4 linked regions of the Solanum lycopersicum genome follow. Each later gene encodes a partner of the first gene's protein in a complex. Links are inferred from orthologs where the notes say so. Each region holds a gene or a part of one and is shown on either strand. Other genes may lie near its edges. The genes, in order: EZ1, FIE, VIN3 and VIN3-like protein 1.

Region 1 (7,501 bases):
GTTGGCATGAAGAGGAGCACAAACCATGTAATCCATGTCAGCTTTCCCATTATCCTCCGAAAATAAGCTTGAGGAGCCTCCACGTTGCGCCGCTGCTCTGTTATCCATGTAAGAGGATACCTCCATACAAGTTTTCAAGCCAGGAAGTAAGTTTCTAGCAATTAGGCAACTGCAATGAATGAGATATCCATTAGAGCTGACACATATTGACACAGCAATCTCATTTCAGCATATCAATCACAAGAATCTGTTACCAAAACTTAATCAACTTCATGTATTCAAGAAGTACGAACAAGTGGTGGGGAGGGGTTTAGAATATGATCTGCATGAAAAGAAAGAGCAGATTTCTCATGAGGGACCAGATCAGCTAGAGTATGGTGTAGCATTTACCCATGTGCTCCTTTTGTCTCGTAACATTTAAAAAAGAACTTCAACATATCCTTAATGTTGATGAATACAATTTACCAATTTCAAAAAAAAAAAAAAACATTTAAAAAAGAACTCTCCTTAAATGTAAAAGGGTCCCTGGAAGACCAGAAAAAAGATGAATGTTCCCTACTTTCACTTCTATGATTGACTGATTGATTGATACTGAGGAAAGTTCAGTAACTAATCTTGGCATAGAAAGAAACAAAAACTTTAATAGCTAACATCTGGTCTTTTATACAGGCATATCACAGGTAAAGTGTAACAACAACAACAACATGCCTAGTGCAATCCTAAGATGTACACAGACCTTACCCCTACCTATATGGGGAAGATAGACTGTTTGCCATTGATAGACCCTCGGCTTGAAAGAAAAGAAGAATTTGAAGCTCTGGCCATGAAGCTGTAGACTACATACTATCTGTGTCTCCACTCCTCCCCCAAGCCCCTTAGCCGCCAACTACACCCCCTATCACCTAGGCTCTAGTGTGAGCTAGAAAAATATCCCTGAGTTGGATGCTGATTCATTTATCACAATAATAAAAGTGAAAAGGACTCCAAAAAAATCTGATACTCGATCACCTTCATATTGTTTATTGCTTAAATGACATCAATAATACTTCTGTAAAAGATAATTTAACATAGCATAAGATCCCAGAAAATGCAGTACAGCTAAAGCCATCCCCTGTTCATAGCTCACTGACCAATTCTACTTATCTAAACTTTATACTAGCTGCAATTGCCCATGGTTCCTCACAGGAATGTGTGCCCTTTTGAATCCAAAACTTAATCAGCTCTATAATTGCCGCTCCGAAATATGGTGTTAGATGGTACAATAATATGTATGCCTGTAGAACCATATAAAGTACCTCCATCGGAAATTAATTCAAGCATCTTTAGAATGTGAAGAAAATGAGGATTGGCTATCTGAAAGCCCCAGGAAAGGATTGCTTGAAATTGGCGGGAGACACAAAAAAAATAGCAGTATATCCATATGGAAATCCTTTAAATGAATACAAAGAATGTGGACCTTCACAACAACAACATACCCAGCAAATCCCACAAAGTGAGGTCAGAATGTGGAGCTTTGGATCTTAAAAATAATTTCATAGATGTCAGCTTGGAAACACTAATGTGTGTAGCTAGAAGAGAATGGCAGACAGTTCCTATTTCTGAGTTTGATCTAGCATTGCACGCGGAAACAGCATCTTTCACAAATACAAGGTAAGGCTGCTAAATAAGACATAATGTGGTCCGCCCTTCCCCAGACCTGAGCATAGCGGGAGCTTAGTCCACCGGGCTCCCTTTAGTCTGACTTATCATTGCATGTAGCTGAAATACATTGCAAGGGTTGTAAAGTTTTAAGGATTTGTTAACACTGACCTGAGTACTCCCAAAAGTACCAAGTGACATGTGAAGACTCAGAGAGACTCCTTTTGTTTTTACCATCTAATCTCTCACTCTCTGTTCTTCTGTCAACAAGAAACAACTACGAACTACCTGACTAGATGATATCCACAATGAAAGGAAATATCTGGTGTAGCAATTTTTTGTTAAATCAAAGAAAGGTACAAGTTAAATTTGGAACAGTCATTTCCATCTTTTTCATTCACATGGACATGCATTTCTTACCACTGATGATATAAACCTATTTTAATGTAAAATAATTGTAATTCTATTATTGAGAAAGAACCAATATCAACTAAAAATCATACCTATTTCTCCCAAATATCTCTATCCCCTTTAAATATAGTTCTTTCTCTAGGGGTTTCCATTCTGGTAAATTTTTGGAGTAGGATGCATGCTTCACAGTTTCCTTTATAGTGTCCTCTCCTTCATTTGAGACATTGTCCCCAGTCTCATGCAAAGAAGTACCATGATTATAGCCAGACTGATCTGGTGCTTGTGAATGTGATACATAATCATTGGTGCTAATAGACATCCCATTGCTCTCAGATCCATCTTCTGCTGCCACACTAACAGCAGTAGGGAGTGACAATTTCCTTCTCTTACCAGAAGAATCTTGTTGGTCATCCAAAACTAGATTTGACTTCTCTAAAGTTGTGTTTATAGAATCTGATACTCCATGCTTCATTTTGCTATCAATGTGCTCGTCTATTGTGACAAGGAAACATAAACAAGTTGAACCAGCAACATGTAACTTCATATGTTATAGACAAGACAAGAAAAATCAGCAAAGCGATCTGTCATCAAAAGTGTGTGAATCATCGTCACCTGGATCTCTAGTTCTTTTGATGTCCATAGTGCTACCTCCCGCTTCTGAAGTGTGTTTTTCTAGTCCTTCCACTGGATCTACATTTGAATATTTAGTCTGGTTTGCTACACCTTTTACCTAAAACCTCAAAATGAATTTCTCCACATAAAAAGCTGAAAGTGAGTGAAAAAAGAAGAAGGGAGAAAAAGGGGAAGAGCAAGTTAGCAAATGAGGGAGCAGACAGTAGCAGTGGCAAGTATTACCAAAACTGAACTGATTATGTAATATAAAGGAAAAATTTAAAATTAGAATGGAGGTTTTAAAGTCTAGAAGATAAATGTATATTTATGATCATCTGCTCCAGAGATGGTAAACTTAGTAGAAAAATCACTTGGCATTTGACAGTCAGACCCAAAACTAGCAAACCAGCTAATACCAAAGTTGTATGTTAAAAGCAGAGCTGCCTAAATACTTACTGAAAAAGCTAAGCTGCTTAGTTAAAAAAGTTTGGGAACTAAAATACTACAAATATTCCGGACTAACTCAAAAACAAGGGTTATCTTAATAAACCAAATCAATGATACATTGAGGGGAATTCCTACCTTAAAGAGGTATGATCTACTTGCTTGTGTATAAATGTCGAAACTCAAAAGAATACCTTAAGATAACACCGATCACCACAAGGTTTTCTATCATCTTCAGAATCAGAAGAATAAGGCTGCTTTTCAATCTGCCAAATGAAAAAGACTTTCAGATTTTCATATACAAATTCAGTAGAATAAGCTGGGAAAATTATACTTACAGCATCAATAAGAATTTGTGAACAGCCATGCAGACGACAGTCGAACACCTGTATTAGTACAGGGAGCCAATTAATAACACATTAAACTTCTGTTTCAGTTTTAAAAAAAACACATTTCGATCACATACCAGACAGCGGCGACAGAAAAGGTTATCAAAGGAATCTAAAGCAGCAGTAAGGCTTTTGTCTAGAAACATGCTCCCCCCAAATCCACTTTCCCTAGAATCTTTTAAGCTTTTGCCGTCTGTATCTTGATGTTTTTCCTCAAGCACATTACAGTGCTCCTAATAAAACAAACAAAGAAATACAAATCAGATGGTATACAAATTGATTTCACAGGTAGCCACTAACAAGACAACCGTGAAAGATAGAGAAACATGTGTCAACATGTGAGCAAGACCAAACACACATAAATGAGGTAACTAAAATATCTACTATCTATAAGTTCATTACCCAATTACATCACCAACTCAGTTTACCAGGATTTCAGAAGTGGTGCCTCCAACATACTGAGTCAAGATGTCAAGAACTTCTTCATTAAGCCCAAACTCCCGTGAAGCCATCCTACAGAATCCCATAAAGTGAAAATAAGATGGCTCTGTGAGAAACAAGCAAACTGACAAGCACAAAAAAAATGTTTCCTGTCTGAAATCTGAAGGCTGCAGCTGCACCCTTTCTGTCAGAGAACTACTAGAACGAAATGCAAGCAACTCCCACCAGCTGGCTAAATATAGGTAGGATATTCTAGTTCACTGAAGGTGCTTGGAAGCTTACATAAACATACAGAAAGCTACCTATTATATCCAAGGGAGAAGTGTAATATGCCCAGGCTACTGTAGCAGGGGACTGGGGATAGGACAGGATAACTGATCATCTGTCAATCCAACAACTTAGAACAATCAAATCAACACTCTTCATACCAAAAAGAGATGATTTTGGATGTATGAGAGTCAAAGCACCTACTTTTTGGTGTATATCTGAACATTGACCTTCTTTATGGTTTTAAAATTACATATTCAGAGACTACTTGAAGTGATACAGATCAAAATGTTCTATTAAAGTACTTAGAAATTTCTATATGTTTTGATAGTATTTTTTTTGGATAACCGTGGTGCCTGGACCAGCTTGCTTGCATCTTGACCAATTCCACGGGATACCTCCCACCAGCATTATGTACAAGTAACTCTGTCCAAAAAGCCTGACATAGATGGGAAGAAATAACCTAGTGTTTTTTTTTGTCTCCGTTAAGATTTGAAAGTGAAACATGGTTCTCAACTCACTTACAACCTTTGGGGCTAATAGTAATTATAAACGGGATAAAGGGAGTATTCTTCTTTACCCATATGAGCTATGAGTGTCTGAGGAAAACCTATCATCATTTCACAAAACCAAAAATTAAGGAAATCTATGGACACAGAAAACAAAAAAAGAACAGAGCTGAAAGGAGATATTGTGCTCTGGATCTGTATTATTCAGGAAACAACAGAATAACTCTTCTAATTCTAGTAAATGGAAATCTCAAATGTAAAGAAAATGACAAGGATAAAACTCTCAGTTGCAGAATTTCTTTACTGTAGCACTTCGGAAAGTTTGAAATTTTTAAAGGCAATTAAGAAGTTCTAAACATTCTAACTACCTTAATTTGCGTTTGAATGAGGGCTAATGATATGAAGCACATCACATGGACACGATGATAAGTATACGAGGTATATTGGAAAAGATAATGGGGTCTAGGAGAGCCTTGGGGCGGGGCCAAACCAAATTGGAAACCACACTATGGACTAAAGTTGTATAGAAATGCGCACAAAGCCTTACTTTATACTAGCATTCTATGAGGAGTTATGGTGTGCACTATATATCAAATTAAAGTTTACAGTTTCCAAAGGTTCAAGCCATTAGTATCTGGACATTCATACAAGGAGATATGGCCATTTTACCAAAGACTGGCAGTACTATCACGGGTCATGCGACGCATTGCCATATCGACAGACTTCCAGGTGCATATAAAAACCAGTTTCGGGACAGAATTGGATTTTGAGAAAGCAGTTACTGTTGAGAGCTCAAAAGTAGCAATTTGATGCTTGGGAGCTCTATTACAAACAAAGGTACGTCAGTAATGATATATTTGAGTTAATTATACTTGATATACATGGATTTTAACATCATTCAAACAAACAAATCTATAAATTTTATCAAATTGTTCAAGAACACCAAAAATCCCAAGCTTACGATTTTTTAGGAAAAACTTGAAGAAGGTAAATACACTACCTAGAACTAGTTTATTTTTTTTGAGAATGATAACTTCTAGAACTAGTTTATTTATTAAGGTCCAAAGTATTCGTTGCTAGTTGTGGTGGTTGAAAGAGTTGTAAATGGAAAACTCTCATTGTGTTGGAAGTTGGATAAATGGTGAGGAAGTTTGGATATGCTTTGGCCTTTGATGTATTTGAGATACCGCATTTGTAGAAATCGACTTATTGATCGTGTTTGGTTAATTTAGTAAGTGTACCTTGGCATGCCCTTGGGGGATAAGAGCAAGTCAAAGGCATATGGAACAATGTTCCGGAGAAATGTGAGAAAAAGCTAGTGAATTGGAAAAGCAAATATTTGTCTCTAGGTGGAAGAGTTACTCTCATCACAGTGTGTTGGATGCTATGCCTACATACATGATATCAATTTTCCCAATGCGTGCAAATGTAATTGACAAAATGGATGCTATCAGAAGAATTATTTTGTGGCAAGGGAACTGTGATCCTAATGAGCAAAAATATCATCTTGTAAAGTGGGATGAAGTCATTCAAAGCAAAAAAGTAGGGGGTCTGGGGATAAGGAAACCTAAAATTGCAGAATCGAAGCCTTTTGATGAAATTGCTATGGAGATTTGCATCACAGGAACAAGCACTGTGGAAGGAGACAATCAAGGCTAGGTTTGGCATGGAGAACAAATGGACTACCTACATGCCCACACAACTGTACGGGACTGGAGTATGGAGGTCTATCAGAACTCAGTGGATCAAGTTTGCAAACAACTGTAAAATCAAGGTGAGAAAAGGGGGGAAAACACTATTTTGGGAAGATGTGTGGGCTGGACAAGAAACTTTATAGAACAGGTATCCAGACTTGTTCAACCTGAGCCTTCAAAAGGTATCCACAATTAGAGAAATGAGAGACAATCAAGTCTATCTCAGTTTAGGAGACACTTGAACGAAGGTTTAGGAGACACTTGAACGACTGGGAAATTAACAGAGTGGCTGAACTGCTCAATACTCTGGAGCCTATACAAAGATTTCACTCCCAAAGAGGACAATCTATTTCCGCTACCAGACAAGCAAGGCAGATTTTCAGTTGGTTCAGCTTACAAGACATCACAAAGATCAGTCTCTCAGAGTAGTGGCTGGCCCTGGAAGATGATCTGGAAAGTCAGGGTACCCTTCAAGGTTGCATGTTTCACTTGGCTACTAGCCAAACAGGCTACACTCACCCAGGACAACCTTATGAAAAGAGGTAGTCAATTTTGCTCTAGGTGCTCTTTTGTGAATGTGAGATTGAGACAATAAATCATCTCTTTCTACATTGTAGAGAGACTGTGAAGTTATAGCAGATTTTCATAAATTTAAGAGGCATAAGCTGGACTATCCAAGGAGCATCAAAGAGGCTCTAGCTGTCGGGACACAGAGAGAGATGGAAGATTGTCCCAGCCTGCATTTGGTGGACTATATGGATGGAAAGGAACCAGAGATGTTTCGAAAACAACAGTTGCTCTGTGCAGAAACTGAAGATGAACTGTCTAGTCCTTTTTTTTTTTTTGGTGTAAACACGGATATCCTCAAGAAGAAGAGAATATTCTTAGTATTTTAGATTATTTATGAAGCTTAGTAGGGACACCTCTCCCTCAATAACTTTTTGTAAGTATTACTGGAATACTTTTCTGGGTTATTCCTTTTGTTCATAATAAAGTTACCTTCTTCAAAAAAAAAATTATCAAGTTGACTGTCAAGATATTATTTTGAAGCTTGAAGTTGAGGTAAGTTAAGACTTACTCTTCTTGAGGTCTTTTT
Region 2 (8,018 bases), on another chromosome or scaffold:
AATAAACCATATATCACACTCCGGCACAGGATACTTTTGGAGGACGTCACTGGTGCCCTAAATGTAGAGCAATATACATTAGGAAATTTTCCAATTTTAGAAAATAATTATTAAAAAAATGGTTCAAACATGACCAACTAACCTCTCCAGCAGATTGTTCTTTCATCTTTGGTTCCCATAATAGAATTTCATTGTCAACACTCTTGAGTATTTCCAACAAAATTTAAGGATCAGTACAAGTAAAATATGAGAAGACCATGTAAAAGACGAGAAGATATCCTCAATCCATTAACAAGTAATTTTCAACTTGAGGTTGACAGCTCATGGTTAAGAAAGAAAGCTATTCTTTGCTTTTCCAGAGGTTCCCAGATTTGCTCTGATTTCCCCTCGACGAAATCAGAAGAGTAAATATCTCCCGGTAAGAAAGATAAAGCCAACCAATAATTCATACAATAGAACAGTTCTTTTCTAATAAGCTCATATAGAAGAACGGTAAAAAAAAAGAATTCAGGTAGAAAGCAGGTCAATATATTCACCTTGGACAAGATAAAATCACCAAGCCATCTGTTACAGTCAACGTAGTTGTTATGGACAGAAGCTATTAACAACTGAAAGGACAAAAAGAAGGTTACAGCAAGAAAAAATCCTCCAACCAAACTTTCAGAAGAAAGAAGGCAGGGAAGGAGAGAATTAACAAGAGTTACTCACTGGAAACTGTACATATTTTGTGGGAAACTTGGAAGGAAGATCCGTCCAAGTAAACGATTTCTCCACATATGTCCAGAATTCTGTAGCACAAGTAGTTCATCAGAAAAGAAATATCAGCTCATATTGATGTTACTTCTTTATATATACTGGTAACATTACTCAAATTGATGTTACTTCATTTTATTTTTTTTCAAACTTGTGTAACAACAGAGCACCAATGGAGCAGATGACTACTTAATCTGACTCATAGCCAACGCTACATCGTTTCCAGGGACAACAGTAAGGTAATTGCTGATAGGTGTGACTATAACTAGGGAAGTAAAGTAGTGTAGATAAAAAGCATTGTGAACACCAGAATACATAAATTCTAGGATAACTGCATGCTGCCTAATATTCCTTCCAGGTAATTGGTACATTGATAACTGCGGTTGGATCTTTGAAAACGTTGGCATCATTTTTATACTTGTAACCAAAGACAAAGATATCCTTGTAGAAATATGTGCTAATAAATTAATGTATTCCACAATGAAGATTGTGTGCAAGTCATTATTTCAACACGTCCAGGTAGTCGTGTGAGATTCAAGATATATCGGTGGCAAAATCACCAAATCCAGAAAAGTACAGGCATAGCACCATCATCATCCCTAAAGATTCTGGAAAAGCCTTGTGAATACAGCCAATAACAAGTTGCTACTCTAAAGATCACCCTCAGTTTTTCTCTTTTCAAAGTTTTAGACTGTGATGATACTTAGTATTATATCATATGTCGTATTTCAATAATACATGTGAAACTGAAAAGGGTTACAGGTTTTACCTTTCATTGACCAGATCTTAACAGTGTTATCCATTCCACAGCTAGCAATCCGATATATATCAGTAGGATGGAAGTCCTACAAACATCACAAACCAGCTGATATGCTTAAATATTGGTTCTCAGTATTAGTAAAAGATGTGAAAGACATTACTTTGCGACCAACTCCATCCTTGGAGTGGAACTGCAATTGACAGAGAAACTTACCACACTAAGTACTTCATTCCGATGACCTCCAGCGCCAGCAAATACCAAAATGCATATTCCAGTATGAACATTCCACAAGCGAACAGATTCATCCTGTAACACTCGTGATAATTACACTATGCCATGTAAAATATTTGCAAAATTGATTGATACTCCACATACATCTTGCAACTGTGCAAATATTTTTCTTCCAATAAAGAGGATCAAATATATTTTTCCTTGCGGGGGAAGGAAATAGAGGAATCCATAAGGTACATACTTTGCTGGCAGATAATACAAGAGATGGTTTCAAGGGTTGAGTCCTAATTTCATTTACTGAGTCTCCGTGCCCCACAAAGCTCTGTTCAATCATAAGAAAGTAGATTAAAATAGATTAATAGACATATGATATTAAGTTAACATGTAACTAGCTTTAACTTTTAAGAGAACCTTTCTCTTTCAAGTTTGTATTGTTAATACAACTTAACATGGAACGAATCATGAAGGAATATTTAACTTGTAAATATCATGATGAATAAGATGGATTGAATCATGGAAAAAGGAAATACTTTAGTTTTAAGATAAAGATCAATTAGAGGGCTGTTAAAAACTCATATGCAGATATTCATTTTTTATAACTAAAAGAGCAACTACTTTTGTTTGAGCATGTAAAATGTGAATCAGAGATTTCATGTCAAGACCTTGTGTAGCTTCTCTTTCCCAGCATCAATAACACGAATAACTCCATTTATTCCACCAGCCACTAAGAATGGACTTCCATCAATATTGCAGGCCCAACTTACAGTGTAAAAGGATTCATCTTTCTGATTTACACAGCACATGGAAAAAACAAAAGTTTTTTAAGTATATGAAATAACATATGTACAGAACAGATGGAACAACTGTGTGCTTGCAACTTCTTACATCTTCATCAATATAAGACTGCAGCACAGCAATGACACCACCTTCGAGACACTGATATACAGTCACCTGACGAACAGCCAGAAAATAAAGACTAGTCAGGATATCGACAATTGGCATACAGTAAAAGCATATCCTGACTTCCTGAGGCTAGTACTATTCTTCTGTTGTTGTTATCTTCTTTCAGTTCGGTATTCTGAAACAACTCTCAGATGACATATCTAGACCAATAAAAGACACATCACTTAACAAGAGCATGCACTTCTCCAAATCCTAAATTTACTTTTACATCATCCATAACTCTCAACTTAGATTAGAAATACAACAAGATATATAATAGCATAACTCCACACTGCTAAGAGATTATACAAGATTACAATCCATACCCAATTCTGAGAATCATAACCTTTGCCATGAACAATTTATAATAGTAAGGTGAACCATTAGGTAATTATTATCAAATCTGTTGAATATGTGGCACTCTGCATGTGTGGAGAAACATACAAAAACTGTCGATCATTACACCATACAACATAAGTTTGTACAAAGCTGGCTCATCCATCCTAAGTCATAACTACATAAAGACATTTCAGTTTGTGACGCATCAATGAATCTACCAAGATAAGCATAAGAGCAATTGTAGGAAACAAAAAGGGTCCTTGAACCATCAATCAACATTAAAGCAACTTGCAAGTCCAATTTTAGCACAATTTCATCTGAAACAAGCAGCAGCTCAACTAATATTAACCCCGAGGCATTTAAAAAAATAAGACAGACCAAGATGGAAAGAAAAACAAAAGATTGATACTTCTTACCTAAATTGTACAAATTTTGAACTTCCATACTAATACATGAACCCAAAAATAACAACAACAAGAAGACCAACTCTTCAACATTAACCCGTTTCATTTCAGAACTCAAGACAAATGAATGAAAAAATTGAACTTCCATACCAATAAATGAAGCCAATAATCACACACACAAAAAAAAAGAGCAACCCATCAGTCTCAAACAATTGGGACAGTTACACCCATACCCGTCATCCCGTTTCATTCTAGAACTCAAGACAAATCCTAAAAGAACGAAAATTTCGAACTTTCATAGTAATACATGAAGCCAACAACCACAATAACAACAATAAGAGCAACCCACCAACCTCAAACAATTAGGTCGTTCATACACGTACCCGTTTACCCGTTTCATTCCAGAGCTCAAATTACTAAAAGAAAAGTATTATATTCCACAAATTCGAATCAGCACAACAAACAAAATACAATTTTGACAAACCCCAAATGAAAAAACTCACACGATTTCCGCCCACAGTAGCAAAGACATTGAAGTAGCGCGAATCAATGAAATTGAAGACGACGCCATATAATGGGCGTTTGCCTTCTTGGAGTCTGTTCGTCACTCTATACTCCTTTTTCCTTGACGGTGTTAATGATCCAACAACTGGCTCACATCCTAGAGGTACTCTGGCCGCCATTGCTATCACTCCGCCAGAGCTTAGAGAGGAACGAAAAACTCTACATATTTACAGTGTCCCTAAAATATTTGTTAAAAAAAAAAAGACGCAAGTGACATTTTTTTTTAAGATTAATTTTATACGTGAGATGAAATTAGCGTTTTAGATATGATCTAAATTTTCAAATTAATATGATTTTCAGAATTTTAAATTATAATTTAAACGTTTTAAATAGAAAAATCGACCTGAATATATATTTTATTTTTAAAAACCTTAATAAAAATATTTTACCATCATTGTATTAAGTGCACAAGACATATCATTGTGAGTTTGTGACATTAATTAATTGAAAAAAACAATTTCTTTTACTAACACCTTGAACAGTATTAAGGTTCGATCAATTAATACGGTATGTTTTAAGAATAATATTATGATACGGTATATGTGATTTATTAAATTTTTATTTATTTGATAAGATTGTAAAAAAAATATAGAATAATTTTATAATTTATGATTTTTTTATATTCATGATAAAATGTTCAAACGACATATCCAAATAAAATTTGAACTTTATCTTATGATGATTTTGTGTCATATGACCAAACAAGATTCTAAACAAAAGTATATCAAGTACATCAGGAAAATAAATATGATTCTAAAGTAAAATTATCTTTAATTAGAGTAAAGTGATATTCTTCAACGATGAAAATAGTGTCACATGAAATGAACAAAACAAGTGTTGTATTCTATCTATATTAAAATACTGTCATATTTTATTTTTCGAGAGTAATTTAATCAATATTAATTTTAAATGAAAATAGGCGAAGAAGTATAGTTGGTTAGGAGGTATGGAGAGTTACTTTTACTTTTTGAGGGTGTAGGCTCGTAGATGTTTGTTATTGTACTAGCGACATTTCTTTCTTATTGACTTTGCAGTTTCTTCTTCGTTAGTTATTATGTTTTCTTCTTCTTTATACTTGAATTGATTGCTCTTGAGATGTGAGTATTCAAAAATAATTTCTTTACCTTCGCGAGATGGTGAAAAAATTTGCATATATTTTATCCTCTCAGATTCTACTTGTGAAATATCACTACATATGTTGTTATTGTTGTTTACCATATGTCAAGATTACACAAGAAATAATACAAGTCGTACTTTTTCTCAATATCAAAAATTAAACATGACAAATATTTCGAAACGCAATGTATTTCAGGTAGATATTTAGCTCAATCTAGATATTCACTTTTATCAAATAGTGTATATTGACAAAAGTAAATACTACACTATATAAGACCTTATCAACTTTGTTGGAGAATTTAAAACAATGGCTTCTTCTTCAAATATTCTTCAACTTCACCATCTCCATCTTCTTCCTTCAATTCATCCAATTTCTTGCGTAAAGCAATTCACTATCAAATGCACTTCACCTGAATCTTCTTCAGACCCAGAATTTCTAACCCCAAATTCAGAAACAACAATTAGCCCAGAAAAATTCCCAATTGAAAAACGTCGAAAATCCGAGATAATCCGTGAGAGAAAATCAAGAACTGAGCTTATAAAGCAAGACCCACCAAATTTCGAAATTGGGTGGAAGAGAACAAAGCCAATTCCATTAGATAAGCCAATTGGGTATGTGATAATGGATTTTTTGGAGAAATTGGAAGAGTTAATGGCTAGGGATTTTGGGTCGACGGCGTTGTTAGCGAAAGTTGGAGAAATAGTTGCAGAAAGAGCTAGGGAAGAAGCGGAAGTGTTGAAAGACGAAGGAAAAGTGGAGGAGAGAATGGTGACGGAATTGTACAGAGTTTTGAAGCTTATGGAAATGGATTTAGCTATGGTGAGTGCTGCTGTTAAAGAAGAAACATTGAATAAAAGACTTGAACAAGCTAAAGCACGTTGTAGGCAAGCCATTCTTGTTGCTAATTCTTTTTGACAAATTTGTAGCATCTTTGTTTCACTTGTACTGTATTTAAGTCTGTATTTCATTATCGACGAGCACGACCCAGAAAGCAAAAATCCTTGCTTTTGCTGGCTAGGGTTAAATATTGACACCTCCAATATGAAAGTCCCGAGTCCAAACCACGAGGTCACCTCGAAAGGATTGTAGATTTCATTTTTGGCCAAAAGCTGAAATTTTTCCTATTGTATTACAAAAAATCATCAATAATCGTTACATCTTTACTATCAAGGAGTACAATTGAAATATACTTTCTGAATATAGTAAATAAAAATTGTTCAAAGAGGCAACATCTTTGAGCAATAAAGAAAAGGATTATCAATTTCTCTTCATTGTTGTTCTCCCTGATAGATTATTCGAACACCACGAAGCATTTTCTGTATGCGTAAAGCTTGTTAAACATCTCTACGCTGCAGTCCGTCACTTTCTATGCCATACAGAATATATGTTTCTCTTTCAAGATCAGAAGGAACACCAACCTTTTTTAAGGCATGATACCAGAAGTCGAAAGAAGTGTCGTCTCTTGATCAACTTCCAACTTGCTGTTAGTCTCAGGGCAACTTTAAAGCACGAACGAGTTCTCAACACTAAAAGTTGTACATCTACATGAACTGCAAAATGTTGATCTCATACAACTGCTGCACCCAAAAGAAAAGGGATGAAGAAGAGTGAGCACAAAGAGGAAGGGGAAAAAAAAAACGTAGCAGGAACAGAGACCGGCATGTTCAGAACTAACACATACCGAAGAATTTTCTAAATCCCCTACGAATTCCACTTTTCACATCTTATATGTCACAATCTTCCCAGTCTTGTTTTCTTTCTTTTTCCCTTTTGCGGAGGCAGACGTTCCATAAGCTGTTTGACAAGCTTTGACTACATTGCAAACATGAAAATCATCCCTTGGTATATTATTGAGAATATTTGCTGCAGATTTGTAGTCCCCTAATGCCAACAAGGCTCGATACATCCTGCATCAAACAATGATTTTGAGCAAAGAAGGAAAACATAAAAGGACACAAATCACATTTGTGACATCACAAGTATCCCAAACCTAATGAGGTTAAAATACGACTAGTTTGAAGTGTAGTTGCTTCATATTTATTGTGTTCTCAATAGCATGTTGATCCGAATAGTCACATAACACCATGTTACTTTGCAATTGAGCGAAAAGATTGCAGATTTTTAGCAGTGCTTTTTCCTTTAATTAAAAGGAGACTGAGAACTCCAACAGTGTTCTGCTTGGAAAAGATTGGAGAAAAGAAAACTGATATATAACTTGAAAAGAAAAGGAAAGGGATGATTTGACTGTTGGCACACACGTCATAGGAGAACAAGATATCTCAACAAGAACCTTTTAGCATGCAACAAGAAGACCTACCCACCATCACACAAGTGAAAACTACATAAAACTCCCAATGTCTCTCATAGGTCTAGAACCTTAGACGATGGAACACAGAAGAGAGAGGAGGACATCAAGCAGTTGAGAAGCATTGTTAGTTTGATGACTTTATTTTTCTCTCTTTTTTTTCAACTTCGACTTTATTAGATTGTTAGATATCATTGACCTAGTTTTATATGACAAATGTTTCTTTTTCATTTCACTCAAAACCAAGAAGGATACAAACCAACAAATAAATGGAAATGCATTTGTCTAGCTTAATCAAATCTCAGTGTTGAATGATTAATCAAGTGAGTTCTCAACAGATGCACTTGTAGAGAAATCAAAACAAAATGATATGAGTAGCTATCATGAATTTCCTAGGAACAGTGCTTTCAAGCAATCAAACAAGACTAAAAAACACTAGTTATTTGAAGTTACCTCACATAACTTAAAATATTGTAAGGAAGACCAGCTATTCTGTACTCCTTCCAAATCAGATAACAAGCTTGTAAATCTTTGGCATTGACACAAGCACTGAGGAGGAAATCAAGACTTTGTCGTGAAGGGAGGAGACCAATATCTTTTTTA
Region 3 (7,501 bases), on another chromosome or scaffold:
CGTACTGCTGGACCTCCATTTAGTAGGGATCTGATTGAGCACGTCTCATCTTTAATCAACAACGGAAAGAAAGTAAATTACTAATGATAACTCATTTTCCCTCCTTTCCGAGCGTCTTCCTAGAGCTATTCTTTTTTTCTTTTTCTTTTCTATTTGTTAATGGGTCCATTTTTTTTGGTCTATTTTCTCTGTTGTACACTAAAGGGACTATTTTGAACATACATTGAAGCATCATTGATCATTTATGCCATTTTCTTTATAAGTTTAATATACAAACTTGCAGTGAATTTTATGAGAAAATGATACTGTATAGCTGCTCCCAAGAAATGTATATATATATTTGTATCTTATGTACAAGACATTTACAAAAAAAATGTAAATAGTTTTGTTTTTTGCCCCTTGTAATAATAATAATAATGTAGTTTTTTGTTTCGGGATAGAACCATTTCATGTAATTGTTTTTTTTTTCTAGTCAAACTTATTGCAACCTGGAGATGTTATGTCAAAGGAGGAAATTCAAGTTTACTTCGTTCAAAACAGATGCCAAGGACAACAAAAGTTGAGGTCATAGAAAGAGGAGGAGGACAATTTTAAAAAATTATGATTTCTTCTACAAAAAAAGAAGTAAATATCAAATCAGATTTTGTATTTCAAATTATCTTACAGAGCAATATCACTTCCATTCCAACTCCAATGTCATAACATCAGAGAGAAATGTGGATGAATTGGGTAGAACCAACCTATAAGGAAAAAAAAATAATAATTAAAGATGATTTAATCGTTTACATCATAAATATGAATCGACATGGAACAATTTGGGAATCAAAAGAATTATGTTCAGTTAAGCAGCGACTATAGAGGATAGAGGATCCACATTCTGAATCCTTTAATGCCAAAGCTTTAGGCAAAAGCCTGCTGGAACTACAGAAGCTCTCTTGCTTGAAATAACATCAGAGAAAGTATCAACCAGCTGCCCAGCAAGTGATGCTGGATCTTCGATTAGGGTATCAACAAATGCCTTGACAATCCTAACATCTTGTGGTGTAGCTCTTAAGCTATACCACGTTAAGAACTTCTGCCTGAATGTCTTGTCAATATGCTCACCACACTCTAACCATCTAACTACTTTGACATAATACTCAAAATCCTTATCTCCAGTTCCAGCACATTCTTCATGCCATTCTCCAACTCTCTTCTTTGAAGAACAGCCAACTTGTGGTCCATCCTCCTTCCCCGATCCATTATCAAGATCCTTGCTGCAATGTTCTGATTTCCCTTTCCGGCCGAGGCTTCCCTTCACATTCTCCATCTTGCAGGGTGTGATGGGTAAGCCAGCATCCACACTACCTACAAATGGTGCGAATTCTAAGGCAGTCTGGAGAGGTGCATTTGACCCATTATCAGTGCTCGTCTCTTCTGTTGTTTGAACATCTGAACATTGCTTGTTCTCAAGATTTATAGCATCAGTATTTGGCAAGGAGGTTACTTTGACAATGCTATCTTCCTCATCACCTAAAGATACCATTACTTCTTCATTTCCTATATGACTTTTACTAGCAAAGGCGACCGTGGTGCAGCACAAGTCTGTAGAAATTGCTTTATCAGTGTTATCACAACAAGAAAGACAATTATCCCCTCTGTTCTCAGCCTCATTGCTGCATAGCACGATGTTATTAGTTTCATCCTCCACTGAAGAAGGATTAGAAAGGTTGCTGCAATTTGTTGGTGGACTTTGACTTCTTTCAACTTCTAAACTTTTCATGTTCAGATTAGATAGTTCATTTTCAGCTTTACTGGAGCAGAATTGAACTTCAAACATTCCCAGTTCTTTCTTGCTATCAAGGGAAACAATCTTGAGAACATAATCTGTAGCTGGCATCAGATCTGAGAGCACAAACCTAGTGTTTGGGGAAAACAATGTTCGAGTTGGTTCTACTGGATATTCCGTTTCAACAGCTTTCCGATGCCACAAGGAGTAACCAACAACATTCTCCATAGATGACCCTTCAGAACTCAAAACAACGGTCACAGATGAGGGAAAGACATCCTCAAATCTGACAAGCTTTGATTCTATCACCTCGCAATCTAAAAAATATAGCCCATGTAAATGCTGATTACTTCACTTGACTTAAATCAAATGAGTACCAAGCTTAGACAAAGAAACCAATGAAGGCATCACAATAACACATGAAGAGAAAGGTAAATCTACAGAATCAATAAAAATAAGGAGAGTATCTATGTACTGCACAAACAAACCACAAATTAGAATGAGTATTACCTTTGACCTTAGCATTAGATGGCATTTCAGACACTCTCTCAGAGAGAAGGGCATCTATGTACTCAACAGCCAAGCCACAAAGTTGCTGAACAGCAGGGCCAAATGAGAGCCTGTTCACTATACCTCTAGCCATCTTCACAGGCAAACCAGTCAAAGGGCCAACATCTGCTTCAAGCTTGTTCACTGCTTCATCTAGAACTTCATACAGCTTTGGGCAATTTTCGGCACCAAAAGAAAGTTTTTGGCTCAATGAAAGCCTATAACATAATATGTCTACACGCCTGGTATCTCTTGCTACAATCAGTTGTTTTTTCAAGGAACTGCAAGAATTGGAGAAATAGAACATCTTTAATCCTAATAAAAATAGCTTGCTTTTTAATTATAGAGGTCTGTATCTCACAGTAAATAAAAGAGGTGATGTACATGTCATTAGTTCTTTGACATTTTTCCTTTATGGATTCTACAACCATCTCACTAAACTATGTTTCATATTAATAAATAATGTTTTTATAACATCATCCAACCAAGTGCATACAAATGATTAACATGTTATTCACTAAAATATAGTGGCCTAAAACCAAATTATTTAAATTTTAGTTAATAACATGTTAGTCATTTGTCTGCACTTGGATGATGTTATAAAAACTTTATTTATTAATATGAATATTTGAGTTGTTTGATTTGAACTTCTAAAATGTTTCTAGTGAAAGGTAGATTGTTTTTTTTCTCTTCATTTTTAAAGCTATAATTTTTTTCTTATATTATTTTTTTGTACAATCTTCAAAATATTGTTTTTTCAAGGAACTGCAAGAATCAGAGAAATAGAACATCTTTAGTCCTAAATAATAAACATAGCTTGCATTTTAATTATAGAGGTATGTATCCCACAGGCCACAGTAAATAAAAGAGCTTATGTACATGTCGTTAGTTCTTTGACATTTTTCCTTTATTGATTCAACAACCATCTCACTAAACTAGTCAGCTGCATCCTGACAATAGTGGAAATAGTTCACTATAATTCAATAATGCAATTGAAAATTAAGTTCACAACAGCAGTACACCTTAGTCCCAAACAAGTTGGGGTTTGTTATATGAATCCTCATTGATCATGTTATCCATTTAAACTCACAACATGCCAATATTTTGCAAATACAAATAAAAAGTAATAAAAGTTCTCCATAATTTTTTGAACCTACAAATCTCTGAAATGCTAAACCACTACTATAAAGTATAGGGCAGTAAAAGTGCTAACATGCCTAAAACAAATTTTCAACTAATACTCTAATAAGCATTGACTACAACAATAACAGAACTCCTGTAGTCCCACAAGTGAGGTGTGAGGAGAGTAGGACGTATGTAGACCTTGCCCCTACATTTGTGGGGCAGAGAGGTGGTTCCGATAAACCCTCGCCTCAAAAGAACAGGCAACGAATATCTAGATTTTTATCCACTGTGCCCCACTTCGCTATGTCTGCATGGGTTCCCAAGGATTTTAGGTCCTTAGATGCATTTTCCTCCTCTTTTAACACTTACCTTCACAATGGTTGCACACCTATAGACCGGTGTATTACACTGCAGATTGACACATGATGAACAAATTATTTCAAGAAGCTTTCGGACATTTTCCCCTCGACGTGTGCTACTTAAACATTCTAGTAATATAATCATTTCTAATCTTGTCAAATTTAGTATGACCACAAATTCATCTTAGCATCTGTATTTCTTCAAAATTCTTCTTGTAAATGTGTTTAACTTTCACGACCCAAGAATCACTCTCATAAAGCATTGTTGGTTTTATAACTATTCTAAAAAACTTACCTTTCACTTTGGTAGGCATCTCTCTACCACATAACAACCAGAAACACTATTTTGTTTCAACTATTCAATTCTGATTCTATTTGTAACATCTTCATCTATAATTTCATTCACCCAGTAAATTGCCTGCATGGAAAAAAAAAAACACAATTTCCTATCTTCTTAACCTTGTTCTTTTATCGCTTGAAGCTAATGACGTTTGAGTTAGCAATAACATGAAAATGTACCCCCTTCATCTTTGGGTGCAAGAATTCATCTCATTCAAGAACTTGCTTGGACAGCGTTACAATCTGTCTTCTCCGGTGAAATTTTGCCGCCACACTAACCACTCATCGGCCATCTTCTTCACCGGCGCCAAAACTCCCTGTGACTATTTCTCTCTCACTTTCTTGGACCCTGACTCTAGGGTTTTCTTTCACCACCGCAGCTCGTCCATCACTGCCACTGCTCTGGAAAGCACATCTACTCCAGCAACTCTAGAGTTTTCTTTCTCCATAATTCTGGGTTGGGTCTCAAGTTACAAGGGCAGCAGCAGAACACGGACCGCTTACCTCCCCAGTGCCCGGATGAAGTACCTCCTATCTCCTCTTCAAGTTACAGGTTCTATCTTCCCAAATTATTCCAGTTTCACATCAGTTTGCCTTCAGTTTCTGGTTTTCAGATTTGTTTCATTGCTATATGCATATCTAGAGTTACATTTCAGATCTAGTTTTCAGATTGGTTCCCTATATTGTCTTCAGATCTATCTTTCTTGTATCATTGTTAATTGTGTAATATTGCATATCTCTATCCCTTCTTCACTTTGCTCTTGATTTAACTCTGCCCTCGGACTCTTCGTTTCTTGATCCATAGTGCCATATATTTCATAGTTCTTGTGGTTTCTCTGGTGTTAGTATTTTGGGTATACCCATATTCTAGAGCTAGTTGCTTCAGTTCATTCTGTATAATATTTCTTGCTTTTCTTCTGTTCTTATTATAGTTAATTAGTCCTAGTCTCTCTGCTTGATTCAATAGTTTTAGTAGATTCTTATTTCTCTTGCATCTTGTTTAATTTACATCTCCTTTGGTGGCTTTGGTGTGGTCGAATAGGATCATGTCCAGGGGGCAAGGGGAAGGGATGGGACATGAGTTAAGTGACCTCATCTTGTATCATGTTGGTTAGACCCTCGTCTTGTATTATGTTGGATAGCTCATCCGTAGCTAGCATAAACAAGTATGGGTTCAATGACAATCCCTGGTGTAAATCCATGATTACAAGATCTCCTTCGCATTCCCTACTACAGTTCTCAGGCTAGTGAAGACTCTTTCATACATGTCTTTTATGACTTTTATATAGTTAACAGGTCCTTTCTTCTCCGACACGACGACACCCACCAAAGAACCTTTCTTTGTACTCTATCATATAATTTTTCTAGGCCAATGAACACCATGTGCAAATTTTGTCTACGATAAACTTCCATCAATCTCCTACACAAAAATGTAGTCTCAGATGTAGATCTACAGGGCATGCACCCAAACTGGTTATCTATTACTCTTGTGGTGTTTCCAAGTCTATGCTCTTATCATTCTTTCTCATAATTTCATCATATGACTCATACATTAAATGCCACAATAGTTCGCAAAACATTGAATATCACCTTTATTTTAATAAAAATTGGAATCAAGGTACTCAATCTCCACTAGTACCAAAAAGGGGAAAAGAGAGAACAACAAAAACTAGTTTGGTATGTAGTGTTCATGTCTGTACGTGTTCATGAAATATACAAGGCCTTCAATCCCTCCCATCCAAAGATTTTTTGGAACAAAATAGGAGTTGTTTACAAACTGGCTTATGGAGATTAAAATATCTGCAAAAACTATCATTCAATAGGATCACAAAAGGAAGTGACAGACAGACTCGCAGCTTATATCTATGCTTCCCAATTTTGAACCATCCGAAGATCCAGTGAATGCTTACAAGGAATAAGCAATATGCATGTGACATCAGAGAAACTATAAAATAAGCCAAATATCATGGAATAACTGAATGTTTGGACAGCATAATATTAACATTAGATTTGATTGGATGAGGAGAAAGAGTTACTATAAACCATAATAGATACGTAAAACACCTACAAAGATGTTTGAACTTTGGAAAGATGGTCGATCGTCAGAAAAAATCTGTTAGAACTTCCTAAATATTAATGGTATCATTCTTCTTTGGATGGAATAATCTCAAACACCGTCAGAGAAGTAAATCTACATACATGTTCCATAATTCATACATGTGACAAGTCTTGTTTTTAGTGGTTTATACATTTATTCCATCAGATGTCCCAGACTATTATATATTCAGGGCATGGAAATTTCAGTTATCAAACTGACAAACTGAAATCCAAGTATCAAACCCAAAACTAGATCCCCTTAGGAGATCTAACTTGTTGTTCTAATGAAGTACAGTCAGACTTCGCATAGGCTAGAAATGTCCAAGATATAATAAATGTTATATATCTGCCATCAGCAAATTCATTTACTATACAGAAGACCATACTTCTTTCTTTTTTTTTACGGTGGTGTCAGGGTCAACTTAGACACACCTCAACTAATTCCACCGGGATGTTACCTCCCATCAGCAGAAGTACCGGGTAACTCTACCCACCAAACAGGAATCCATACTTTCATGAATAGAAAATAACCTTGGTAGCACAACCAACTTGTTGGCACTGATATCTGCTTAGAATGGTCTTCCCCAGTAGTCCTAGGAGTCCCTTTGCCACAATAAAGGTTAAAAGGCAAGGGCTCATAGCCAGCTGCAAATCTAACCCTTTCAGTCCATTACCCACAATAAGTCGATCATTTTGACAACAACACAACAATCGTCTCAGCAACTCAAATCATATTATATAAGTGGATTAGATAAGCAAGTATAGACTACACCAATAATTGGGACATACCGCACTTATGTGGGATAAGAAAAACATGGTGAATCCAAAGACATTGGTAAAAAATACCTTTTGAACTCTAAGACTTGGATCAAAGCTTCAAAAAAAAAAAAGAACTGGCAAAATATATATAGGAAGGAGGAAAAATTCAGAAAATATGTAATACAAATTTGCACTCGTATGACCTTAAAGGCTAGGAATAAAGCAGGCATCAAAAGCTTTGGTCATGCTACAGTGTCATATGGTTTATTTAGGAAACATTGCATATATGGGCTAAGGTTCCATTGTCGAAAAAAAGAGGAGTGACTTGAAGTTCTCAATACATCTATCTTTTAGCACATGTTAGACATCAAATTTCGAAATTGTTAATAGCCAATCTGACGAGCTTGTAGCGGCACAACAAGCTCGTTGAGCTCATAGCAAAGGGAAGGTATTCTCCACAGCTCCCACAAGCTCAATCATCAATACAAGCTTAGGATTGTAAAAT
Region 4 (7,501 bases), on another chromosome or scaffold:
ACACTTTTTATTTAATCTTGTGGTTCTAAATTAAAGTTATGTCAAATGAACCAAAGTGTCCTTTAATCCTGTGGTCGTAAACAAATCACGTGGAAAGTTAAAGTTAAAGTGTTGCAAAAAAAGGAAAAGGGTCGTTCTTTTTGAAACAACCTGAAAAGGAAATAGGGTCATTCTTTTTGAAATGGAGGGAGTATAAGTCTTCAAGACCCTAATTTATTTTCATTTTTTTAAACTCAAGTAGTTTATTGTATTTGTGGTAGCTTTTTATTTTTTTAATTTTTTTTTAATCCAGCTACTCTCCATTTTTTTCTCTATTTTCCTCAAGCTCTTACTTGGATTGAAGACACACAACATAGAGAAAAATAAATGGCTAAGATTTAAATAATTAAATCAAGACTCTTAACATGATAAATAATTAATATTTCATAAACAAATTAATAATGTCATTATCATACTAATATTATCTTATCCATAACATATTACTACCTCCGTTTCAAAAAGAGTGATTTAGTTTGACTTGACACGAAGTTTAAGTAAATAAAGACGACTTTTGAATCCTGTGGTTCTAAATTAAAGTTATGTCAAATGTACAAATTTGCTCTTTAATCTTGTAGCCTTAAACATGCCACGCGGAAAGCTGAAACTAAAATGTTACCAAAAAAAAAAAAGAAGTCATTCTTTTTTAAACAGACTGAAAAGGAAAGAAGAGAATGTCATTCTTTTTTAAATGGAGATGGTATAAAATTCTCTTCTTTTCTACTTTTCTTATCCCTATAGGCTACGAGCATGTATCTTCTTTTTTGTTCTGAATTGAGTTAATCTTTAGTTATAGTCTTTTATGGAACTTTCTCTTCGAAATTAGTTATCACAAAGATCATTAGTAAAAAAAATTAAGTTATCATTTATTTTTATTTTTTAAATTTAACGGAGGATAAACAAGCTTAAGATTTATGAATAATATTAAAAAAAAAAAGGAAAAAGAAAAAGATTTATGAATAATATAACATCTCTATAATTGTGAAATTATTAATATTTTTATAATATGTTAATTGTCTAAAACAAACTTTTAAAAAAATAAGTTACCGCAAATACAAATATTAAGTTTTTCTTTAAAATATTTTTGGGGTGTGGAAGAGGTAATTTTTTTAAGGCGGGTTTTTATTTCATCCAATAAAAAATGAATCATAATTAATATTTTAAAAAAATAAAAATAAAAAAAGGATTGTTAGTTGCAAGGGTTAAGTGATCCAGAAAGGTGAATGGAAGGGTATTTTTTAGACCAAAAGATGGATGGAAGGTATTTTTAGACCTTTTCCTATATTTCAGGTGTATTTTTGGCCCTTTTCCACTTATGAAATAGCTATCGACTAATCTGATCAACCAGAAAATCAGTAACAGAACTTAAAAAAACTAATCAAGATTGAACAAAGAATAAACAATCAACATCTTTGAGAATTTAAACAATTAACATCTTCACTACTGCAAAGTGACAATAAAATAATTTTAGAGGAAGATGGCTTCAAGACTTCTCCCTCTGCACAGACTTGTGCCAAGGGAATAAGTCCTCTTTCAACCTTCCAAATGTAGGTTCACAGCATGCAGAGTAGATTCCTGAGTCACACATTTTTACCCTCAACACACACACACATAAATTTCCAGTGAAAATACAACTGCTGGAAGCTCCAAATCATTCGTAAGGTAGTTCTTTTCATGGTTCTTAAGTGTGCATCAGAAGAGGTTGGAAAGGACTTGGTGAGGCAAGTCAAAGACAGAATAGGTCAAGGGATTTCAGACAGAAGTCCAATCCAAAGAAGGATGTTACAGGAAAGAAGGAAACAAGGATATACTCACCCTACCACCTTGGTATAGTTTTAGTTTGGCTTAATACTGAACGAACATATCAGCATTGGAAAGGGAGAACTGTTATACTTATCTAAAAGAAACTTACCCAAGAATTCCAGAAACTTTACCACAAGAAGCACAACAATAGCTCCCATCTAGCTGCATCAGTTGTCCTAGATCAACAACTCCCACCTTCCCACGTTGGAGTGCACACTCAACGTGACAAGTCAGGCCACAGGAGTCCCCCTGACCAGATTCAGATGTGCACTCCAACCAAAGACTAGGATCCTTGTTGTCATCAAATAAGTGACAAATGCAACAAGAGCACCTCTTGCAAAAAGTGTCATCTATAGAAATAGTTGCCCTGCATGCAGAATTTTTACAAATCCATGAATTTGAACATTTCACATCAGCATACTGCTCCGCAGCTGATAGAATTCGGAGAGGGTTTTCCCCTTTTCTGAGCTGCTTTCTAGAAGAATGATCCTTGGGACTTGAAGATACTCTTTTTTGTTCTTGAGTCTTTAATTGCTTTTTACTCAACTTTGGGAATTGCTCAGACATTTTGCACTAGGATAAAATCAATAGCTTCTTTTCCTTGACCTGGTAAAACTCCAAGATATCTTTCCTTTGGACCAGATTTCAAGAATTTCTGGAGTGCCTTTGAACTTCTTGAATTTTCTCTGTAATGCTTTTCAAACTGGACGAAACACTAAGAACACCAAAAACTGGATATAAAGAACACATGAGTTAGCATACAAAGAATCAACAGTTGTGGCAAAATGAAAAAACTGAGTGGATCTCATCAAAAGAAATGTAACAAGGATTTGTATCCACTAACAGAAGTATGATTTGACCTGTCTTTTGAGCAAGAAAGTTCGTATATAATTGCTTGCAGACTGTCAAATACTCGATACAGAAAAAGGAGAGGTACAGGACGATTTTCCATTGCATTTAAAGATCTCAGAAACTTAAGTCCATTCCTGCCCATGGAAACACACACACACACACACACATATATATGTCGACAAAATGAAATTTCAGTGGCTTTTGAGTGTCAATAACTGACATTTCATCCCTTTTTCAAGGTGAAGTCAGAACTTATGACATATGAAATAGGCAAACTTAAAAGGGAGTTGAAGTTTATTACATCATTTATTTAATGCTACCGAAAATGATAATCCTGCATAAAATTTTCAGAAGGAACTTCAAGAAATATGAAGAGTTGAAAGCAGAATCCATTTAAAGATGAAGAAGTTAATATAAATGTCACAAGAAAAGAGTACAACCGAGAAGATTTATAGAAAGGTCTAAAATACTATTATTACTCGATATGACTGAAAGGCATTATCGTTTTTTATCAAATGGAAATCTATGAACTTCAGTGAATAACAATTTCTATCATCAAACTGTAAAGTCTATAGAATCATTATATTAAGGTACAAGAAATGGACATTGGAGAATAATCCTATAGCACTTGGGGGTCGTTTGGTAGTTGGATCGAGTTATAACAGGTATTAGTAATGCTAGTTATGAGGGAATCTATGTATTTTTCTATATACACCTTATGCAGGGTTTAGTTATTCAATTATTATTATTCCACCTTCTATCCTGCATATAATAATAATAGATTCCCTGGTAATAGTTATGCAAATTTCTAATTGCAAACCAAATAGCCTATTATTTTTATACATGAATAATTTACCTCTAAGCAACAAGACAAACATGGTATTACTTATGCACGATTTAATACTTGATTAGCCCACCTTCAAACCAGCTACCAAATGACCCCTCACATCTTTGGTCATATAACTTTATAACCACTTCCCCATTGTGAACACCCACACCCCCCAAAAAAAGTAATGAAGTGAAATAATAAATCTAACATGTAGGTTATCGTTCACAATGTGATGGCCTTCATTAAGCATTAGCATTTCAATGTTCATTTTATTCTTAAATAGAGACACATAAACCATCTTCCTCTTGAAGTAACCAAAAGCCACAGGGTTAGCATCAGAAAACAAGAAGAATGCGCTAATTTTAAAAACGGGTAATTTTGGATTCCTCAACATTAAGGGTTTGTTTAATTAAATTTGGTGTAATTGGTGCAATTACACTGTCTTGTCCTGTTTGGAAGGACAGGTAATTGCTTTGTCAGCAGGTAATTGTGTATGGCAGGGGGTAATTACACTCTACAATTTGCCGGTAGAGGCTGTGAATTGCTGGTAATTACATTACTTTTTAATTTCTTTTTTTATTTCTATTTTAATTTTTTTGTTTAAATTTTTTTACTTCTATTATTTTAAGTTTTTTTTAAGTTATTATCCTAAAAATTTGTAAAAGTTTATATTTTATTTTATATAATTATATTTCATTCTCTTCTTGTTCTTAACCTTACTTTACGTGATTCTTTCTCATTAGCATAATTTTATTAGTATTCCAATTTTTGAATTAAAATTTATTGTTAAGTATGATTATAGAAATATGTTTTTTTATTAAGAAAAAATAAAAATAAATCATATTTATTGCTGTGCTGAAATTTGTTGTAAGAGTATTATGTTAAATTTTTTGTTTTGAATTTATAACTTATGTTATATTTTCAGTTTCATTTGTTTTAGTAATATTGAATTTTACATTGCACGTCATGTTTTGATTAGACTTGATAGATTATATTTTTGTCAAACATTTAATAATTTATGACATTTTATTTATATATTATTCTTTTTATCGAACATGCATTTCACCATGTTCGTAGAAATTTCATACTTTTAGTTGTTACGATCAATTCAATTGAAATATATTAATTTGAAAAAATATAAATCAATTATTTTTTCATAATATTAGTTACAGAAAATATGTTTATTAATTAATATATTTTCAACAAAGAATATATATCGTAAATATTTTATTTAATGTCATTTATAAAGTTTCTTATTTGACTAGTATAAAATTTAAATAATTAATTTTTATTCTTAAAATTTGTTATAATTTTATGATTGCTCTTGTGCATCCAAAGAGAACATGTGTAATTACATGGTGGCATCCAAACAGAACATGAGTAATTATAGTGTAATTACACCGTGACAACCAAACAGGTCAGTGTAATTACTAGACAATGTAATTACTACCCTAGTAATTACATCAATTCCAATTACCAAGTGGCTCTCCAAACAGACCCTAAGAGATATGTTGGCAGCCAAACAGGACATGTGTAATTATAGTGTAATTACACAGTGACAACCAAACAAGTCAGTGTAATTACTATACAATGTAATTACTACCCTAGTAATTACATCAATTTCAATTACCAAGTGGCTCTCCAAACAGACCCTAAGAGATATGTCGACAGCAACCTCCAAAAAGTGAGCTACAGAGTGGTATTAATTACAAAACTCCTATGAAAGTACTATCTATATTTCATCATCTGTACTCCTTCCTGTTCCAATTTATATTACTAACTTCATATTTTAGTCCGTCTCAAAAAGAATCAAACATTTCTTTATTTGGCAAGTATTTAATAACACCATCAACATTTTCCCATATTGGGTCCCACTTATTTGGCAAGAAGTCTACAAAGGTGTACTCTTTTAGGTAATTTAGGAACATCGCAAAGTCTTTCCATATTTCTTTAACTCAGTGTCAAGTCAAACTACATCACATAAATTGGGATGGAGAAGTAAGTTTTTTACCCTAGAAACATGAACTAATACAATTCCATTTGATCTTCTGAATGGAACTGGATCTGCCTTCAGAAAATTTACCATTCTCTCATTCCATATTCCACATATACAACTTGGGACTGTTCACCATATCTTCTGTCTTTTAGTACCTCCAACCCCTCTATCCAGCAGCTTAATAAATTTGTTGGGTGTTCTGGCATAGTCCAACTTTCCTTAGCGAAACTAATAGTTGTAACTTTACATAGAAGAAACAAATGGTTATTCTTTTATGCTGCCTCTTGATGTAAACAACATATAGATGCTACTTCTATTCTTCTTTCCCGTAGAATGTGTAAGACAAGCTCTCCTCACAACCAGCCAAGCAAAACATTTCATCTTAATTGGTTCCATGTTCTTCTACACAAACTTCGCCAGTTGAAACTCCTGCCAATTCATATATTCCCCTTGAATACGCCTGCTCAATGTAAATACTCCATCACTTTGATGGTTCCATCTGACTGTATCATCTTCAATTTTTGTGCCCAACTTCCCACTAACTCGGTAGTTTAGCCACACAATCACTTCCCATTCACATAGCAACCTTCTCAATGTTTGGTCCCAACCTTGAGGTGCAAGATTCTTCAACTTTGCAGTCAGGTTTGCCACTAATAGAGAACAACATAGGAAAAAGTTCTTGTGGCATTCCATTTCTAGTCCAATTGCCTTTCCAAAAAAAATCCTATTGTCATTTCCTATCATGTTACAGACACTTCTCTTGAAATCAGGCCACAGATATCTAATAGATCTCCATAGCCCTACACCATATGTTTGTAACCTACTTTATACACCAGTGTCCTTCTTGGCAAAATTTTTGCTGGACTACTTCCTTCTAGAGAGCTTGATGCTCCACATTGTATCTCCATAACAATATCATAAATAGGCTATTATTTTGCAGCTTCTAATTCTTAACCCCCATACCTCCTTGAGCTCTGTTATGCTGCCACCAGTGTTGTGGACGGCGAGAGGCGACAAAAGGCGACAAGGGCCTGCCTCGCCACGCGGCGAGGCGCTTGCCTTTTTGAATAAAGGCGCCAATTAATACCAAAAATTAAAAATATTTAATTGCATATTTTATCCAAAGTCTTAATAGCAATAACACATATTAACAAATATTCAATTCAAAAACCAATAGAATGTCTAAAACTTTAAAGACCAAACAATTCAAAATACAATAAACCAAAACTTTAAAAGTCTATTCTTCTTCAAAATTATCAAAAGAATTTTTTAAAAAAAATTAACACTTGTTACACTTACTGAGTCCTCACTGCTGCTTACGCAGCTTACCAAAATAAAAAAAAATGAAGAAGAAAGAACAGAAAAAATAAGAATAGAAGAAGCAGAAGAACAGAGACGCGACATTACCTGAAAACAGAGAGTCGCGAGGTCGCCGGCGAGGGAGAAGAGACGCGACAGCGAGGGAGAGCGAGGAAGCAGAGACGCGACAGCGAGGGAGCAGCGAGGGCCGGCGAGGGACAGCGAGGGAGCAGCGAGGGCCGGCGAGGGAGAAGAGAAGAGTCAATCGATCGATCGATCGATCGAGAGAGTCGCGAGTTTCAGAAATTTTCGAAAGTAAAAAAAAAACCCTAATTTTGACTAATATTATTAAGTCAAAAAATTTTTAATCAAAAAGGCGGCGCCTTTCTCTTGCCATTTCAGCGCCATTATCACCAGGGCCTCGCCTTTTTCTCCTCGCCTCGCCTCGCCAGAGAATGGCGAGCCACCCTCGCCTCGCCTCGCCTCTCGCCTTTGGCGACGAGGCGAGCGCCTTTCATAACACTGGCTGCCACTTTACCAAGTAAAAACTCTTGCCCTCCTTATTGCCATTCCATAAGCAATTTTCCTCAATTATCTTGAATGTCAATTCCCTTGCTTGGCATTGGAACTGGATATTACTAATATTGGTAGAGTTATCAAAATGAGTCTCCCTCCGAGAGAAAGAT

The links.
Region 2: EZ1 (region 1) and FIE share a complex: the UniProt entries of both Arabidopsis thaliana proteins name them as parts of the plant homeodomain / polycomb repressive complex. The link is inferred for Solanum lycopersicum from reciprocal best matches to the Arabidopsis thaliana genes SWN and FIE.
Region 3: EZ1 (region 1) and VIN3 share a complex: the UniProt entries of both Arabidopsis thaliana proteins name them as parts of the plant homeodomain / polycomb repressive complex. The link is inferred for Solanum lycopersicum from reciprocal best matches to the Arabidopsis thaliana genes SWN and VEL1.
Region 4: EZ1 (region 1) and VIN3-like protein 1 share a complex: the UniProt entries of both Arabidopsis thaliana proteins name them as parts of the plant homeodomain / polycomb repressive complex. The link is inferred for Solanum lycopersicum from reciprocal best matches to the Arabidopsis thaliana genes SWN and VRN5.

What each region holds. Positions count from the first base shown.
Region 1 is NC_090800.1:74,602,727-74,610,227, reverse strand, and holds part of EZ1 (histone-lysine N-methyltransferase EZ1), read right to left. Parts: intron 4,008-7,501; coding exon 3,923-4,007; intron 3,728-3,922; coding exon 3,572-3,727; intron 3,492-3,571; coding exon 3,444-3,491; intron 3,372-3,443; coding exon 3,300-3,371; intron 2,780-3,299; coding exon 2,662-2,779; intron 2,542-2,661; coding exon 2,142-2,541; intron 170-2,141; coding exon 25-169; intron 1-24. UniProt on the Arabidopsis thaliana protein: Polycomb group (PcG) protein. Catalytic subunit of some PcG multiprotein complex, which methylates 'Lys-27' of histone H3, leading to transcriptional repression of the affected target genes, mainly abscisic acid (ABA) responsive elements.
Region 2 is NC_090806.1:68,821,561-68,829,578, forward strand, and holds the start of FIE (fertilization-independent endosperm protein), read right to left. Parts: upstream 4,202-8,018; 5' UTR 4,113-4,201; coding exon 3,933-4,112; intron 2,696-3,932; coding exon 2,630-2,695; intron 2,530-2,629; coding exon 2,407-2,529; intron 2,067-2,406; coding exon 1,986-2,066; intron 1,820-1,985; coding exon 1,727-1,819; intron 1,599-1,726; coding exon 1,523-1,598; intron 789-1,522; coding exon 709-788; intron 609-708; coding exon 537-608; intron 203-536; coding exon 143-202; intron 58-142; coding exon 1-57. Other genes in the region: protein CHLORORESPIRATORY REDUCTION 41, chloroplastic, read left to right, coding at 5,417-6,025; pentatricopeptide repeat-containing protein At4g04790, mitochondrial, read right to left, coding at 6,828-7,017, 7,869-8,018. UniProt on the Arabidopsis thaliana protein: Polycomb group (PcG) protein. PcG proteins act by forming multiprotein complexes, which are required to maintain the transcriptionally repressive state of homeotic genes throughout development.
Region 3 is NC_090806.1:12,271,568-12,279,068, reverse strand, and holds the end of VIN3 (vernalization insensitive 3), read right to left. Parts: intron 2,599-7,501; coding exon 2,279-2,598; intron 2,086-2,278; coding exon 887-2,085; 3' UTR 620-886; downstream 1-619. UniProt on the Arabidopsis thaliana protein: Maybe involved in both the vernalization and photoperiod pathways by regulating gene expression. Binds preferentially to dimethylated histone H3 'Lys-9' (H3K9me2).
Region 4 is NC_090804.1:22,651,114-22,658,614, reverse strand, and holds part of VIN3-like protein 1, read right to left. Parts: intron 2,571-7,501; 5' UTR 2,407-2,570; coding exon 1,949-2,406; intron 1-1,948. UniProt on the Arabidopsis thaliana protein: Involved in both the vernalization and photoperiod pathways by regulating expression of the related floral repressors FLOWERING LOCUS C (FLC) and FLOWERING LOCUS M (FLM).